2 linked regions of the Pelodiscus sinensis genome follow. Each later gene encodes a partner of the first gene's protein in a complex. Links are inferred from orthologs where the notes say so. Each region holds a gene or a part of one and is shown in the gene's direction. Other genes may lie near its edges.

What was found.
Region 2: the proteins of ORC4 (region 1) and ORC5 are in contact, whole or in part, in a cryo-EM structure (PDB 7JPO), measured with the Homo sapiens proteins. The link is inferred for Pelodiscus sinensis from reciprocal best matches to the Homo sapiens genes ORC4 and ORC5. Residues at the interface, in NP_001177808.1 of Homo sapiens: Ser18, Gln21, Arg22, Arg25, Glu26, Cys29, Arg30, Gln31, Arg69, Thr74, Asn100, Leu102, Leu103, Gln104, Ile105, Ile109, Glu113, Arg116, Asp162, Arg277, Met281, Met284, Leu285, Asn288, Met311, Asp312, Ser313, Lys314, Asn316, Ile317; in NP_002544.1 of Homo sapiens: Ile17, Ser20, Leu21, Phe22, Gly23, Glu24, His26, His27, Phe28, Ser29, Phe30, Pro31, Tyr36, Gly37, His38, Thr39, Thr98, Phe99, Asn100, Val103, Arg104, Arg131, Glu134, Asn136, Pro139, Gly140, Arg143, Gln145, Glu146, Leu147.

Annotation. Positions count from the first base shown.
Region 1 is NC_134717.1:25,683,083-25,692,516, reverse strand, and holds the start of ORC4 (origin recognition complex subunit 4), read left to right. Parts: upstream 1-5,376; 5' UTR 5,377-5,526; intron 5,527-5,536; exon of another isoform or gene 5,537-6,212; intron 6,213-9,434. UniProt on the Homo sapiens protein: Component of the origin recognition complex (ORC) that binds origins of replication. DNA-binding is ATP-dependent. The specific DNA sequences that define origins of replication have not been identified yet.
Region 2 is NC_134711.1:24,345,362-24,354,432, reverse strand, and holds the start of ORC5 (origin recognition complex subunit 5), read left to right. Parts: upstream 1-5,225; 5' UTR 5,226-5,355; intron 5,356-5,390; exon of another isoform or gene 5,391-5,479; intron 5,480-8,802; 5' UTR 8,803-8,884; coding exon 8,885-8,995; intron 8,996-9,071. UniProt on the Homo sapiens protein: Component of the origin recognition complex (ORC) that binds origins of replication. DNA-binding is ATP-dependent. The specific DNA sequences that define origins of replication have not been identified yet.

The DNA of each region.
Region 1 (9,434 bases):
GGTGGTTAATCTAAAGATATTATAAACATGTAATTAACAATCTATCATTTTGGGTCAAAATTGCTAAAATTAGTTAAAATATTAACAAAATTTATTTCCATTAACTTTACTTAAACACTAACATCTCTTATGTATTACAGGAAAGTAGATCTGAGTCACTTTTTTCTAAAATTTCATTCCATGTTCCTTTTAATACCTAATGTGTATTTTGGTTCTTATATGGCAGTAGTCTCCAACCTTTTAAAGTATGAGATCACTTTTTGAATTTAAGTGCAATCCAGGATCTACCTCAAACCCAAATACCTTTGCCCCACTTCCTTCGTGACACTTCTCAAAGGCCCCGTCCCTGCTCACTCCATCCTTCCTCCCTGTCATCAGAAGGGAGAGAGGGTTTGGGGCACAGTCTTTGGTTTTGGGCTATGGGATTTGGAGTGTGAGAAGGGCTCTGAGCTGAGCCTGGGGCACTGGTTGGTGTGCCATAGGTGGTTCAGGGTAAGGCTCTGTAAGGGAGTCTGGGTCTTGGGGGGGCTCAGGGTTAAGGCAGGGGCTTGGGGTGCAGGAGAGGGTTCATGACTGGGACAGGGATTCAGGGTGCAGAATCCAGCTGGACACTGCTTACCGCAGGTGGCTCCTGTGAGGTGGTACAGTGGGGCTAAGGCAGGCTCACCCCTACCCTGGCCTTGTACGACTCCTAAAAGCAGCCAGCAATTCCCTCCATCCCAAACCCTGTTGTGCCCTCCTCCCCTGTTCTGTGGCGATAGAATATGGAGCGGGAGAGGGGAACAGCTCCAAGGCAAAGGGCAGGACTTTCACAGCAGTGGGGGAGGGGTAGTGGACGTGCCAGCCCTTGACAGCTTCTTGGCCTAACCAGTCAGAGGCTCCAAGATCTACCAGTAGATCCCCATCCACTGATTGGTGATCGCTGTTATACAGATTAAATGAACCTTACTGGAAACTGTATGAGTAAAATTATAGTTTAAAAATATTTACAGGCACTAACAATTGAAAAGTAAAGATGGCTCTCTACTCTGCATCATGTTTTACTCCCATTGAAAGGAGTGCCAAAACTGATTTCAATGGAACCCAAACCATGGAATACATTTTCAAAAGCACCTCAATGATTGTGGGCCCAAGTCTCAATTTTCAAGCGACCAAAGTTCTTATCTCCTAAGTCTCATTGAAAAATCAATGAGATTGTTGACTTAAGTGTTTAAGTCACTTTGGAAATGATATATGCATTTTTGAAATTAAAGCCCTTACTCTGAGAACTGCTCTGCACATGTGGGCTTTTACACTGCAAGAAGCCCTACTGTCAAGAATGGAACTCCTTGTGGTCAAAAGGTTCTACCACCAAAGAGTAGTCTGAAGGAGTGAGGTGTGTCTCAAGAATTCATTGCTGATCCACAAGCTAACATTGTCATCACTGGCTGTGTTCAATCAACTAGTTCCTGAATGCTGATCTCCCTTAAATAAAATCACTGTGAAGAAAATTGTGAAAAAGTCTTACTGACAGAATAGTAACTACAAGCCTCAGTGAAAAACAAGACAGTTTTTTGTTAGTAAAGTTGTTAATGATACCACAAAGGTTCAATTTTCCTAGATAGATCAATTTTCAATTTTCTGATAGATCAGAATACTAGCTTCCCAATAAAAAGACAAGGGTCAGGACCATAGAAAGGAACACGTTTTGGTTAAAGGTGAACAATACTCCTTTACAAAAATATTTAAATCTAACTAAAATAAAGATCACATGCTTATGTAAAATAACTAGCAAATAAACAAACTAATCACCAAGTTAACACCAGAAGAAACTGATAATTTTGAATTTAAAAATACCAACATATAGATCTGACCTGAACAAGATCTTTAAATGTTTTTGGTTTGTAAATCTAGTGTAGCCTACATAGTTATTGTAGCTTCCTGATCATTCAAATCTAACTCTACAAACACACATTTTTGGTAAAAAAAAAAAAAATGAACAAGAGACATAAATAAATGTTGCGTATACAAATGATCTAGTTTTCAACAGGGAAAAATACAGAAATGTTCCTAAATGCCTAAAAAGAAACCAAAAATCTTTAATACTTGCTTATGATACTAGAATAATTACTTAAACACAGAACAAAAAAATGCTACTTAGTAATAATTGTTGATTACTAACAGTTTCCCATAATTCCAGTTGATGCAGTTTTTAGCAAATTATTTAATATTGTATATTATGGCAGCATCCTAAGGACCTCTATTACAATTAAGGCCTCTTTGCAGTATAGTGCACTATACATCACAGAAATAGACTGTCCCTGCTCTGACTGGATTATCATCTAAGGCTTGGACCTATATTCCCCAAGATAAGCCTCAGTGAAGTCAGTGATGGTCTGCTAGCACAGACCTGACTGTAGAATCAGGGCCTAAGAAATCTATGATCTCAAACGCAGTTCCTCCCTATAGAGAAAAATTTGTAAAGATACTGGGTTAACAAACCAAAACCTTCCAAAAACTATGATGTTAGAAATTTGGCTCAATTTTTTACTGAGCAACCAGTTTAAAAATGTAGTTTACAGATTTTAACATTAAACCAATAAATTGAGCATTTGCCCTATGTAATAAATAACAAATTTCTCTCTTTGTATTCTGGATTTGCAGGATAAATTGCAGATGGAGTTGAAATAGGACTGACATTGAGGGCCTAAACTTGAACATAGCATAGGTTTGTATGTGCAGATTAAACATATCAATGGTACCTCAGAGTAAGAAAAGAATTAATCACATTATAAAAGGTTGGTATGAAACAGGAAAAAAAGATTATTCCTGGATAAGCTTTTAGCTATGTGTCTCTAGTGTTGCTTGTAGTAAAATAAAAAGACAACTGCAGTTTTCAAGAATGGGTTCCTATACATATTTGCTGATCTCTAAAAGAAATTTTACTTTACAAATTGGATTTTTTAAATAATTCTGAATACAGCAAGTTGTTTTGCCTTCACAAGCTAAACAGAAAACTAACAGGAAGACAATTCTACAGAACTATACTAAGATTTGCTACTCCAACCTCTTTTCACAATATTTTTCAAGTATTCTTCTACATTTGTTTTTCTCCAATCCTTTCCAACCTTATCAAATTGCTGTTTTCATATTGCCAGCTTGATCATGAAATTGATGCTTTGCATAAAATATTTTCTGCTGATGCAAATTATGGGATCAGAAATACTGAAGCATTTACAAGTGAAGGGATTTGTGCATTCCTCTTCAAGTACTGGATAAAGATGTACATGTAGCAAGCTGAATCCCATTTTGCTGAGATGCCCCATTGAAAAGCACAATCTCTGGCCTACCTCACAGTTTAGAAATAGCTTGCATTATTTACTAAATTAATAGCACACAGCTTTCTTTTTAAAAAGAGAATTACATGACCAAACAAATACAACACAGAAATCATTCACAGGCAACATTATTTTTTAAAACAAATGCCCTTGTAAAAGAGATGACATTGAAATATAAAACCAATTTATCATTAACTCAAACTTTCTTCTGGATTCCTATGACTCTAAAAGACTTTTCGGATGCTTTCCTGAAAATATAAGTTTAATTATCAAATTAAGTAGATATTTTTGGCATGTGAATTTTACAATAATGAAGAAACTAGTTAGTTAAAACTGAAAGTGGTACCTAACCCAGACAACTATTTAGTGCAGTACATATTCTGCTAAAGAGATTTGGCCTTCCTATCAGCAAATCATGACAAAAAATTAATGTAAAATATTTAAGAAGAACTAATTCCTTATTCTAAGTATATAGATGACATTGCATATGCCCTGATCCTGCTAATATTTACATATTAGAGTAGACCTATATTAAGATTACTTAGATGCTTAAAGTTAAGCAGGTGCATAGAGCTTTACAGGATCAGGGCCTTAATGATTATATAACTAAGTTTAGTTATTTATATTATTAACAGCAGCAACATGCATCTATACAAAACAAAGACAGATAAAAAATTCCAAAGAATTTTCACCACCATATTAATATTTTTGTCTTTTGAATTTCCTATTTTGACACAGGAAATACAAGCACTTTAGAAAGAAGTCACATATAAAAACAAATCTTGACCCAACCCCCTTTTAATACTTCACCTATCTCTTTACACAGAAAACTATTTGTTCAAAAGACAAATACCAAAGAAAACCAAGAGACAAATACTGCTCCCAGAAACAGCAAATCCCCAAATCTAAAGCAGCTCTAAAAAGAGGGAGATGTTGGAACACACTTGAGAGTACCATTAGCAATGCTGGATCATCATCTACCATGACATTTCCTCATACACTGAAAAATAAATACAACTGAGGTAGGACATGGAGAAAGGTTTCCACTTCCTCAAACAGTGAGTAAAAAGTGACAGATATGAGCACTGTAATATCTTCTTCCCAAACAGGAGTAGGAGGATTAGAGTAATACACAAAACTGAAGTCTATCATTTGGAACATGAAAAATAAGCCACTTTGCCAAACCAGTAAACAATCAAACTATCTATCATCAAAACTAAAAGATGGAAAACAAACACTTTCCCCAACCCCAGCCCCCAAACCTGCCTGCCCTAGAGAAGCAGAGGTGGGAGGAGGTATTGCTTGCCCACACACAAACACACTTACCTTGGCTGCACCCCACTTTTATTCCCTTCCCTGGAGCAGTGGAGAAAGAGACACACACAAAGGGTAATAAAGGGGGAGGAGGGGAGAGCAGGGGGTGGGGGAGCTGGTGAACTGGCTGCTGCTCCTCTGTGTGTGTGGTGAGGTGTCTCCAGCCAGGGCCAAGCAGCAGCAGCAGAGAGAGAAGGGACCGTGTTGCTAAGAGGCTTTTGGTCTCTTTCTCTCTCCTCTGACGGGCGGGGGGGGGGGGGGGGGGAAGAAACTCTCCTTCTCTCCCTGTGTCTCCCTGGGATCTTCTAGCTGGGCTGGGTTGGGGAGAAACTCAGGCGCCTCACACCAACCCTTCCCCTTCCCCACACACCAATTCAAGATGGAATTAGTGCTCTGTCCCTTTAACAATATAAATAAAAGGTCCCCCAGTCTCCCCCTCTCTCTTCATCATCAGCTGCTGCTACTGCTGCTGCTGCTGAGGCTCTAGCTCTGGCTGGGAGAAAGATGGGAGGCTGCTACTGCGCGTGCGCCCCAAGGGGGCTCGGTGGGTTGAAGGGGGGGTGGAAAGAGGTTGCTCTCCACAATGCACCGCGCGGCTGGAGAACCCGGAAGGAGATGCCGTTGAAGGAAAGGAAGTTGCGGAGTGGGTGTGGGAGGGGGAGGGAGAAGTGGAGCGGAAGTGAGTGAGTGGGCGTGAAGGGGGCAGAGTTGAGGCGAGTCAAGAGTGGCGGGGGGAGAAGGGGCGGTGCTATAGTCGCCACGTGACAGCGAGCGATGTGCGCGGGGGGTGCCGGGAATGTTTCTGGGGCACTAGCGGGCGAGGAGGGAGGTTGCGCTACTAGAGATCGAAGCGCTCGCGCAGGCGGGCGATAGCGAGTGAGCGGAGCCGGCCTAGGTAGGGCATCCGAGGGCCAGGCGCGCGAACCGGCAAGGAGATGGCGGGCAGTGACAGGACGTGGCGGAGGAGGGCGGGCGAGCGAGCGAGAACCCTGACCCGGTGCGGACGAAGGGCGGCGGGGTCCCGGGGGTGTTCCCCTCCTGCCGCCTTGTGTTCCCGGGCCCCGTGGGGGGCTCTGTCCCGGTCTCAGGTCCTTGGGCCTGGCTGTTGTGCGGCGGAAGGGCTGCGTCCCGGTGCTCTGCCCCGAGGGGACTTGGGGGGGGCCTTCGGCAGCGCGAGGCGGGGGATGATGCTCATGGCGACGCGGCGGTGAGGGCTAGGGAGCATCGCGCGCCAGCGAGGCCTCGTGAGACTCCTGCCTCAGGAATCGCTTCCTGCCCAGTGAGCCCGGCACTGATCCGGGTGGCCGTGCTGGCCTTGGGTCACTTGCTGTGATCCTGAAAAATTGAGTCGCCCGACTTCGTCCCCAGTGACCTCCCAGCAGAGCCGAACTGGTGTCTGGTGCGTCCGCTTCTGACCCGTGCTGACCGATGCTGACGCCTTGTGTGTTGCAGAGGGGAATTCTCTGGAAGAAAGAGCAGACGGTGATACCGACTATTCGTAGCTTAAACCCGGCTTCTGGGCATTCCTTTGTGCCAGTCAAAGGCACTTATTATTTTTGTCAGATTTCTTAGGCACTGAAGGTGAAACTTCTTGTAATTTTAAAGTTAAAGTGGTTGAAGTGCCTCCAGTTGAATGGATGGAAAACTGAAGGAGTTAATTTTATTTACAAAGGTGTTTATAGCCACCTTATCTGGAACATTGTTAACTCTACTTAACATTGACTATGCTCTGTAGGGGCAGATTTTGGGTGTAAAATAAAAAACTTTACACAGTGATTAACCAGAATAAAGGTAGATGCTGCACTATAGATCAATCCTGCATCCTATGATTGCTCCTTTGGACTTTTTGAATTAGGCTCCTTTCTGGTGGAGCTTTGACTTTGGTTATATCTACTCTACAACTAAGCAAACCTAACTTAGGATGTTCAGAGGTGTGAAAAACACACTCACTGAGCAATGTAAGTTACACCAAGAGAAATACTGGAGTGTTCAGCACTGTTGGCAGGGGAGCTTCTCCCACTGACCTAGCTACTGCCATTTGTGAAAGTGGTTTTATCATGTTGGAAAGTTTTTCTGCTAGCATAGAGCAGCTGCACAAGTCTTGAAGCATCACTGTTGCTTATGTAGACATTACAGCTAAGACCATGGGCTCACCTAAACTTTGTTTTTTATTAGATTTGGTTCTGTGGAACAAAACAAAGTAATCATTGGTGCTCTCTCATACCAAGCACTGAAGGTATCAAAATGAGCGATTACAGATCTGTGAAAGCATTCTCCTTTCTTACTTTAAATAAAATGGTTAACAAATTACTACAGTTGTCAATAATACATTAACACTTCAGTTAAATAAAGGGGCTAGCGCACAGAGGTAGGTGATGTATTTTGGTGTTATTGTTGAGTAACAGAGTGGGTCTTCATTGCACTGTTAACCTGAGTGATTGGCATGTGGGATGGTCTAGTGAGTCAATTTGTGATCATCCCCATAACAAATCACTACTTACATTCTCATTGCATCTGCACTTTTCAGTGTATATCTGGGATCGTATCTCTCATGTGTCTTTGTGCTGAGATGCTCTAGGATTCTTTGCCTGTCAATTGTACAATGTGCAGGATATATATGAGACTTCAGTGACTTCCGTTTTTTTTAATCTTCTTCCTATTGCAAAGCGAGTGTGTTTCAATCAAGCCATGTAAGCTAGTCCAGGCTTAGCACATCCAATCCTATACCATGTGTCTTTTTCCAGATATATGGTAAGCATTCTGGAGCTAAAAAGGTTAACTCTCCTTTGAGACATACCCACAGACATTTGTGGTTTCTCTGTTCAAATTTTGAGGCTTTTATGCAACCATAGCAATTGAAGACTTTTTTTTTAAGCAAAAGCTGAAATCCTGTTGAACATGATAGTATCTTCAAAAGAGTACTGATAAGGTTTAAAAGCACGTCAGCTGCTTCTGAGCCCTGGAGATAAACTTAATTTATAGTGTTTTGTTTGTAGGTACCATTATGGTAAGTTACGCCTTATTTACACCACTCTGCCATCACAACTATGTCAGAGATCTGAAAGGTATGATCTCTACAGATTCTTATGGCATAGCTATGTTGTAGGGAAGATGAAGCAGCACTGGCATAACTGCTTTTACTGGAACGGAGGTTTTGCCTTTTTTGCTCTATCCACATTAGGAACACTTTTATGGTATAGTATTCCATTGGTTCTATGCTGATAAAGCTTTCCTATTGTGGATATAGCCTTGGCTACAGCAGAGGTCATTTGAAACTTTTTGAATAGTAGCTTTTATGTAATCTTAACAAAGGCCAGAAAGGAACTTTTGATCACCTTCAGTGACTTGTGTAATACAGGACATTCAATTTCACCCAATAATATCTGTAGTATAAATGAAATATTAACCTCACTGAGAACATACATACATGTACACAAGGAGTGTGATTCTGCTACTCTTCTTCTCATTGATCCAGTGAGTTCAATAGAACTACCAAGTGTAAGAAAGGGCTCCAAAGTTTGGCCCTTAATTTTTAAAATCCGAGCATACATCAGTCGCGCAGAAGGTTGCATTATTTTCTTTATAAAAAGTAGTAGTATTCACTCTTAGCTTTTCTGAGTATCTGCAATGGTTGGTTTGTTGTTTTTAATTGAGGATGTGGACATGGTGGTAGATTTAAAAAAAAATGAAATTCTTAACAAACTGGTGAACAAGTGAGGGGAATAGTGTTAATTTTTGTTCTGAAACTGTATATTGTTAAACTACCCAGTAACAGTAACAGGAAACTCCTTTCTCCATATAATGAGTTTAATTGACTGTACTTAAAAATAGTTCCCATGTATACTGGAAATAGTCTCTCCATTAAAACAGGTATGTCTAGAAGTACACCTATGTTGATTGTTGTCCACAGAGATGTTCTGTATTTCTAAAAGGTAACTAGAAAACGAGAATCTTCTTGAAAGGTAAAGTGTAATTGATAATCGGATGTAACTGATTTATAATATGAGAACACTCCTGGGACTGCTCCAATCCTCCTGGGGCAGCCCCTGCCTTAGACACATGCACACTGTCTGCACTGGGCCCTGTCCTGCTTCAGCCTCCACCCATTAACCAGAACTGGTAAGTATCACATGTTAAGGGTGCTGTTCAGGGCTCAACAAACAATGTAATCTACTCGCCTGTGGTGAGTAGATTACACCTCGGAAGAGCCAGCGCAGAGCAAGAGCCGGCGCAGAGCAATCTGCACATGAGCAGAATGATCTGCGCAGAGCGCAGAACCACACGGCTGCTTGGCGAGCCCTGGTGATGTTTACCAGTTAACCTTTCCTATATCAGTGCTGAATGAGATAAATAGTTGAGTGTTGTCAGCTGTGGCCTGGTCTACACAAGGGATGTTAAAATATGTTTATTTAAAAGCTGGCTCCCACCTGCCTCCTTCCCCATGCAGAGGCAGTAGTGCAGGAGGCTCTGTGGGAGCTTGTACATGTCGGGAGCCGGCTTGAAAGTCAGCTGCCCATGCACAATGGTTTCCACCCTCCCCAGGCCTGCCCTGCTGCTCAGGCTCATCAGTTAATGGTGTACACAGGTACGTGTTCACATATCTAGTCTATGCTAGGAATTCAAGTGGGTATAGCTATGTCTCCTCCATTGACTTAGATGCAGTAGCTCAGGGAAGTGGATTACCTTTGGTTAAGTAGTGTCTACATTGAAGTGTACTACTGCAGTATCTTAACTATGAGTCTCAAACTCACAGCCTGTGGGCTGTCTATGGGCTGGAGAATATAGCTATCCAGCCCAGGAGGG
Region 2 (9,071 bases), on another chromosome or scaffold:
AAGCAGCAATCAACACTGACTCAACTGAAAGCGTTATTGATGGTTCATAATCATGCTGGAAGAGCATAACAAGTGGGGTTCTGCAGGGGTCTGTTTTGGGACTGGTTCTGTTCAATATCTTCATCAACGATTTAGATGATGGCATAGAGACTACGATTATTAAAAGTTGGCAGATGATACCAAGCTGGGATGGGTTGCAAGTGCTTTGGAGGATAGGGTCATAATTCAAAATAATCTGGACAAACTAGAGAAATGGTCTGAGGTAAATAGGATGAAGTACTCCACTTAGGAAGGAAAAATCAGTTTTACACATACTGAATGGGAAGCGGCAGTCTAAGAAGGATCTAGCAACAGTCTATACAAAAGGATCTAGGGGTCATAGTTGATCACAAGCTAAATATGAGTCAACAGTGAAATACTGTTGCAAAAAAAGCAAACATGATGCTGGGATGCATTAACAGGAGTGTTGTGAGCAAGACATGAGAAGTGATTCTTCCACTCTACTCTGCACTGATTAGGCCTCAATTGTAGTATTATGTTCAGTTCTGGGCTCCATATTTCAAGAAAGATGCGGAGAAACTGGAGAAGTTCCAGAAAAGAGCAAAAAAAAAAAAAAAGAATAAAGATCTAGAAAACATGACTTATGAGGAAGACTGAAATAATTGGAAATGCATAGTTTGGAAAAGAGAAGACTGAGAGGAGACATGAGAGCAGTTTTCAAGTACCTAAAAGGGTGTTACAAAGGGGAGAGAGAAAAAATTTTCTCCTTGTTCTCCGATGATAGGACAAGAAGCAATGGACTTAAATTGCAGCAAGGGAGGTTTACGTTAGACATTAGGAAAAGCTTTCTGTCAGGGTTGTTAAACACTGGAATAAATTGCCTAGGGAGGTTATGAAATCTCCATCACTGGAGATATTTAAGAACAGGTTAAATATCTATCAGGGATGATCTATTCTCCACAGTACTTGGCCCTGCCATGAGGGCAGGGGACTGGACTTGATCTCTTGAGGTCCCTTTCAGTTCTAGCACTCTATGAACTGTATGGCTACATCTACATTGGCAAGATTTTGCGCAAATACTTTTAACGCAAGAGTTTTTACGTTAAAGTATTTGTGCAAGAGAGCGTCTACACTGGCATGTGCCTTTGCGCAAGACACGTGCTTTTGCGCAAGAGCGTCCGTGCCAGTGTAGCCATCGGGCTTTCTTGCGCAAGAAATTCATGTTGCCGGTCTACACTGGCCTCTTGCGCAAGAACAGTTGAGCAAGAGGGCTTATTCCTGAGCGGGAGCATCATAGTTCTTGTGCGAGAAGCACTGATTTCACACATTAGAACATCAGTGTTCTTGCGCAAGAACTCCCCGCCAGTGTAGACAGGCAGCAAAATCATGCCAATGTGTAGACAGCCTAGGAGTGGGCTACTGAGAATGACTGAACTGCCAGACCTCACCACTAGGCAGCAAACACCGGTGGCACTCTTTTGAAGCTTTGCCATCTGTATTTTCATGCACAGCTGTGTTTACAATGTGAAATAAACAATAACTCAGTTTCTGACATGGCAATGATGCACTGTTTTACACATATAATATTGGATATTTTGGTTTATGAGAGTGTGATGGACCATCAACCCATGCTTTATGAAATGGACTTCTGGACATAAATATATTTTACTCATAGATGCTTTGAACAAATTATTTCATGTAACCTATCAACCTTCATGTCAAAATCCGCTGGTTCTGTTTATTTTGGTGTATGTATCACTCTTGTGTGTGAAATTAGACACATGGAGTAGAGACTATTTTGTTTTTAAAATATGTAGATGGAAAGGCATCAAGTGGGGCCTCAGTGTCTGGGCAATCATATGCTATTGCCTTTTGTCCTTAAGGCTTAGTAGTGATAGTTGGGAGGGACCAGATGACTCCCCATACAATAAGGGTGTGTCTAGACTGGCATGATTTTGCGGAAATACTTTTAACAGAAAAGTTTTTCCGTTAAAAGTACTTCCGCAAAAGCGCGTCTAGATTGGCACGGATGCTTTTGCGCAAAAGCACCCATGGCCAGTCTATACACGATTTTGCGCAAGAAAGCCCCGATCGCCATTTTAGCCATCGGGGCTTTTTTGCGCAAAACAGTTCTTCCCTGTCTACACTGGCCCTCTTGCACAAGTATTCTTGCGCAAGAGGGCTTTTTCCCGAGCGGGAGCATGAAAGTATTTGCGCAAGAAGCACTGATTTTGTACATTACAAAGTCAGTGCTCTTGTGCAAATTCAAGCTGCCAGTGTAGATAGCTGGCAAGTTTTTGCACAAAAACAGCCGCTGTTGCGCAAAATCTTGCCAGTCTAGACGCACCCTAAGGGAATTCTTTAAAAAGAATAGACAAAGAGGAGTCTAGGTCTTTGGGCTGGCTCGACACACCCAGGGAGGATGAACCAGAGACCCTAGGCAAAGTGGAAATGTCCTGGTTTTGAAGGTGCACCTGGAACAGAAACAGTTTTAAGGTGAGTTTATAGTAAGTTTGTGCTGAGGATTTTTGTGTCAGAATTAGCTAAGCGCCTGTTACTTTTGAGTTTGTAATCTTTTTTGCGCTGACTATTCTCACTTATAACCACTTAAATCCTATTGCTTGTACTTAATAAAATCACTTTTGCTTACTATCAAGCCCAGTGTAAACAATTATTACCTGGGGGAGCAATCAATGTGCACATTCCCCCTTTCATTGTTAAAGGGGGCTCACCCAAGTAATTAATTGGGGATTTGATCCCATTTGGGGGAGTGGTATCCCAGGAAGCTGGGCCCCAAACTGCACTCTCCTTGGACCTGAATAGGTTCAGTGTTGGTACTGCTTCATGGGGGGGTGAGGGGTAGTAGGGATATGAGCTCAGGGCCTTGGCTGGGGGAAGAAAAGTGGAGCTAGCCTAGCAGCACCAGGCAGTGAAAAGCCCCAGAGAGTAGGTAGGTGAGTGGCAGTGGCCATGTCAGTACTCTGGGGGGCACACCCAAGGGGTCTTCCGTGACCTTACCCCGTCACAGAGACAACTTTGTGTGACGGACCGGGCCATGTCTGGGCACAGCTGAGGGCGTCTGCTCAGGGCGAATTGCTCAAATCCGGGGCTCCTTACAGCCCCCAGACTTGTGACCTCTCCATACAGGCCACAAACCAGTCCCACAGAACGCTTCAGCAGCCTGCCTGAAGCCTCACAAGCAAAACTCCTCCGACACCCCAGCAATAACCATGCCCCAGATGGCCCCGGACCTCATACACAGCTGGGGGGTCCTAGCACCCAATCCCACCTACCCCGAACAAGTTCTGTCCGGTTCCAAGAAATCAGCCACAGATCTCTGGCCAATTTATCCTTTGGACCTTACCCACAAATCACACTGGGCCAATCCTTTAGCATCTAACAACTAAAGGTTTATTAACATAAGAAAGAAAAGCATGAGAGTAAGGTTATTAAAGTACAGTACATTACATGCACCGAATCTCCCAGTTCTCGATGCAGGCTCTAGCAGAGATGTTGCAGCTGCTGGTTTAAAAGTTCTTATTGCACATCCTAAGATCAGGATGGGTTCACAGGTCTTCCGGGCTCTTCGATCCCTGCAGTGCTGCCTCTGGGATGAAGTGCTGAGCTGAGAACAAAATGGCATCGACCACATGGCCTCTTTATACCTCCTTCCTGGCCTCTTCTGGTATGCAGCAGGTCACCTGGTCCTCAGCCTCTCTGTGTTCCCTGCTGGCTGCTCTCAGGTGACAGCCCCCATTCTTTGGGTGTGTCTTTGGCCCATTGAGAGCCATTGTTCCACAGGTAATTAGCATGTCCACAGGCTCCACAGGCTCGGCCCTGCCCAATGCTTAACCACATGCAGGGAAATCTTCAGTGTCCACACAAGTACATGTTAATAATTGCACACACAGACATTATACAAACACATGAACAGCGTACATAGGATTATCAGATATTCAATACCTCACATGGCCCCCTTCTATACCATTTTTGGGGCCAACACCCCCACCTATGGGTGCATCAGTGATCTGGCTGCTCCCCTCAAGATCCAGCAATGTGACACTTTGTTTAAAGGGAAAAAAAATCACTGCCATCTAGTTTAGCAATCCTTAAAGCCTGGTGCCCTAAGTGACCACCTAGATCAGGCCTGGGAAAAATACGGCCAATCCCACCAGATCCAGCTCACAGAGGCACCAGGGAGACCTAGGCAGCTCCCCTGCTTGCCCAGCAGGCTGTTCAGAAATGTGGCTATTTGACCCTCTTTTCCTTGCAAAACTGTAATCTTGGAAGGAGGGAGGGGTGAGCTTCAGGCAGTGCCCCTGCCCCCAGCACAATCCCATTGGCTGGTTTCTGGCCAGAAACTGGCCAATGAGAGCAGCCTGTCTGAATAACAGGCAGCCAGGAAGCACCACCCCCCTTCCCCTCCAGCTGTTATTCACAGAAACACATGGCTAGGTGCAAGCTGGCTGACAGAGAAACATTTTAAGATCCGCAGGAAGGCAGATTTGGCTGCTGGCTTGTGAGTTTCCTGGCCAGAGCCTGCCTCTAGCACCCCAGCCCCTCCCTTTGCCAACCCTCTCTCCCAGATCTGCCCCCCCCCAATCTCCTGCACCAGATCATAATCCACTCCTACCCTAGGTCACATCCTAAAACCTTGCATCCCAGTCCCCTCCATTAGGTCACAACCACCTCCTTTACGCATTCTCACTCCTGCACCCCAAGCCCTTACCCCAAGCTCCCTTCTGCACCCAGCCTCCATCCCAGACCTTGCACCTCTTCCATTAATATCATGGAAGAGCGAGGCCCTTGACTACTTTTTCCAAAATCTTGGAGTGGCCTCGTCAAAAATTACTGCCCACCCCTGGCCTAGATAGTCAGGTGAGCCCTGTCCCCAGGCTCCTCCTTGTCTTCTGCCATCCTACTGCTCCTCTTCTCTCTGGAGCCCAACATCCACTGCCCTCGGGCTCTGGGAGAGGGGGGAAGGGGCCCTTTAAAGCACCGCTGGAACCCCCGGCAGCGCTGAGGGTGGGGGCGTTCCATGGTTGGGGCGGCTCTTCCACGATAGCGACCTTCCCCTCCCCCCAATTGCTCAGGGCCCAGCGAGGCTGTCGGCTCCCCCATTGCTCTTGTTCAACCCTAAGCCACACAAATTTCTGGCTTTACGCTTGGGAGCGGGCGCAGTATGGGCGTGGTTACCAGGGGAAACTTCAATTTCCTAACGCGCATGTGCAGAGTTGGCGCTTGCGCATTCGGGAGGGAGGGGGGTAACCATCGGAGCAATGTGCGCATGCGCAAAGGCGGGCGCTCGGTTCGGAGTCCTCGCCCGCGAAAGCAGCGTGACCGTTGGGGTTCGGGGTGAGTGTCCGGTTCTGTGTGTTGGCGGACGTTTGCGGGAGGCGGGGGGAGAAGGGAGAATGCGCGCGCGTCTTGCCTAGGCTCGCGCGCTGTGAGAAGAGCTGCGGTGCTGCCAGGGCTCTGGGTCAGCGGAGGGCCTGAGCGGCGGACAGAGTCAGGGTTGCCCCAACACGGCAGGACCTGGAGGGAGGGAGGGAGGGAGGGAGGAGTTGCGGCGCGCTGGGCACGGGGTGTGGGTTGCCCAAGCCGGGGCTGTCCGCTTCAGGGGGGTGCCGCTGCCTGTTGGGTTAAAGTGTGGGCGGAGCTGGGGTCTGTTTTCATGTCTACTCCGCCTCTTCACACCCGCAGCATTAGGCGTGGGTCTGGGCGGCGTTGCTCTGTGTGTGTGGGGGGTGGTTGTGGTGGCAATGGCCGCAGCGATCCCCCCTCCCCCGCCCTGACAATCACAGGGTGCTGGCTGGAGCAGGGGTGCAGGAGTGAATTGCCTCCCCAGAGACTGAGGGGGTTATTGCATGGGTGCTAGTGGGAAAGTAACCACCATGTTCGAAGCTTGCAGCAAAGTCTTGAGCTGCAGGGTCAGTTGTCTGATGAGTCCTGGGTTTTTAGTGGCATATAGTAAAGTGCCTTTAGGAGGTGGCACAATGAGGTGATTGTATTGTCCTGGTGCACTATTGTGATGTCATGATATAGCCATGCAAATGAAGGGTGGATCTCTCTGGTCTGCTACCCTCGGGACCTGACCAGTCCTGGATGAGGGGTTTTGCTGGACCAGCCTCCTGGCAGTATTCCTCTTGCCACCAGCCTCGCTGGTCCCAACACCTCCTTCCTTTCCTACTATGATGGTCAGCCCAGCTCCCTGTGTGCTGGGCTCCTGGCCCCATTGGGCAGCCCTGCTGTGGCACTCTGGGCTTCCAGCTCTGCTGGGTTGTGCCTGGCTGTCCAGATGCAGGGCACCAAGCAGCCCACCTGTGGGGAACCCAGCTGTCAGCCCTCCACCGGGACTCTCAGGTACAGGAATATCTGTGGTCCTGCTGGACAACGGATATTGCCGGACCAGGGAATCCCAGATTACAGAGGTTCGACTTATAGCATGGTGTCAAGATGCAGTTTCACACATTTTAATGGTAGAAAAATGGGAGGTAAACCTTGAGAGTCAAGACGGCTTGGTTTCCCGTTTCCCATTTCCCAGTGCAGAAACAGGGATGCTGCGTGCTCTCCTTTCATTGCTCATAAAAAGGATTTGCCTCGTGGGTATTTTAATGTTTGTAAAGCTCTTAGTGTATCATCTTTACATTGATAAATCATAGATCCTCCTCTCAGCTAATGAGGTATCTTGCTTCATCCAGTCCTATGTCAGGTTGTTTCTTCTTAGTCATTATTTTAAACTAAACATGGCCAAAACCTGAGATTTTTAACCTTTCCTCACAGGTTCTCTCACCTGGCCATCTTCTTTTATCAGCATAGACAACACTGCTGTTCTCCCTGTCACTCAGGCAGTGTAGTTTAGGTGTGATCTTTGATGGGGCCACTATGTTTTTAATCTTGCCTTTTTTTTAACACTGATCTTGAAAATCTAGCCTTTTGTCTCTTTTCTCTGCTCAGTGAAGACTCTCATCATAGTCCTCATGTTGACCTGATTGCTGCAACTTTTGCTTGCCTTGAGTCTATTCAAATTAAAGACCGCATTTCTGGTTCATCATTCTGATCATGTTAATTCCTAGTTTGCGTTGTCAATTGGCTCCCCCTTAATTTTGACACCAAATAAAAGCTTCTTGTAGTGCCTTTAAAGCAGGGGTCGGCAACCTTTTCAAACCAAACAGCCAAACTGTCTCAAAATTCTAAACAAATGATCATCAAAGAGCCGGATAAGAATGCCCATTTGCATAACAGAAAATATACAATTTAATATTATTAATAATTGACATAATGATTAATAGCATAAATGAAACCTTGTGCTCATGGACTTTATTTAATGGGACTTCCGTTGCTGCATTTTTTTGCACATTTCTTTGAAGTTTACATCATAACTGGTCAAATCCAGCTTTATGAACGCATTCAGGCTGTCTTTTGTCAATCTTATGGCGGGGGCTGGGGATGTGGTCGTGCAGGAGTCTTGGTGCAAGTGCATGAGGGACTCAGGGCAGAGGATTTGGGTGTATGATGGACTCAGTGCAAGGTTGGGTTGTGGGGGCATGCAGGACACAAGGTTGGGTTCTGTGGGGGAATGGGCTGAGGACAGGCTTACTGGTCGGGGGCAGGAGTGGGCTAGGGGCAGGGTATCTAGCTGGGAGGGGGGCTGAGTGAGGGGAAGTTTGGGGTTTGGGCATGAGGGTTGGGGGGCACTATGTGCTTTCACATTGAGTGTAACATAGCCCCCCCGCTGCTCCCATGTGCTGGAAGGAAGTCTTTAGACAGGATTCACAGGTGAAGCCTGCATGAAGTGCTTCCTAAGGGAAAGAGAATGGCACACAGCCGTTGGTTCCGCACCGGGGGGGAAGGATGGTGCATGGAGCCATTTTTCATTCTGTCTGTTCCCCACATGCAAGATCCGAAAGGGAGGCTCAGGGCTTTCCCTCCTCACTCCTTTCCCCCCACAGGAAGCTGGTGCTGGCGTTCCAGTCTTGTAGGGGTCATAAGGCTGTAGCGCCAGCTCTGGCTCAGTGCTGCTGCAGGAGCTGGGAGGCGGCTGAGTAGGGTCTCCAAAAGAGTCATATCTGGCTCCCTAGTGAGCCATATTTGGCTCGCAAGCCATGGGTTGCTGACCCCTGCTTTAAAGTCGTCTCTTAACTTAGCTCCTCCTATCTAACTGATTTAGTAACCTATTATGTCAGCCTATTATGATGTTTTTACTCTGCTAGTGCTTGCTCCCATCCTTTATCACCCATTAGTTAGCTGCTTGTTAAAAACCTCTGTGCTTTCGCCTATGCTGTCCCTGATGCTCAACATAACATATGAAGAATCACTTCTTTATCTTCTTTTTGAAACCTGGTTTTTGCTGTGATGTTTACTAATCTCAGCTTGTTAATTGTGGCTAAGCAGATGACCAGCTGAGACTATTCTCCTTTTCTTTCTCTACTCTTTTTCTTTGCACCTTTACTCTCAAAAAGTAAAGTTAAAACAAACAAACCTGCATCCATGTAACTAGCAAAGTCATGACCGCTGTTCACCATGTTCATTGCTCATTTGTTGCATCCACAACTTCTCCTTTTTGTTTGTCTTAAAATTGTAAACCCTTTAGGGCAGTTATTGTCTCTTTTGCTTTTATTTCCTTATAAGGCTAGCATTACTGGGTCCCAGTGCTGAATGAGGTCTTTGCGTTTTTCCATCATATTAATAGTCGTCATTCCTGTTAGGTAAAAAGTCTGATTATAATGAAAGATTGTCACCTCTTATTTATTTTTACTTCATTTCTCCGTATATGAACAAATACAACATTTTATTTTCCAGATCATCACTTCGGTCTTATTTTCCTATTGGAAGGTGACATACATATACAGTTAGCTGACTGGTGACAGAAACGTGAATCAAAATGCCTAATTTTGAACATCCAGAGTATCCAGAGGCTACCTTACTTCACTTGGAAAGTATGGTGCCCTGTCGAGAATCCCAGGTGTCATCACTGTTATCAGTATTTGGCAAGGTAACTCTTTCTGTATTGTGCCTTTGAGTAGATCAGACGTTGTACCATAATTTTTTTTGTTATGGGTGGGTTGGTA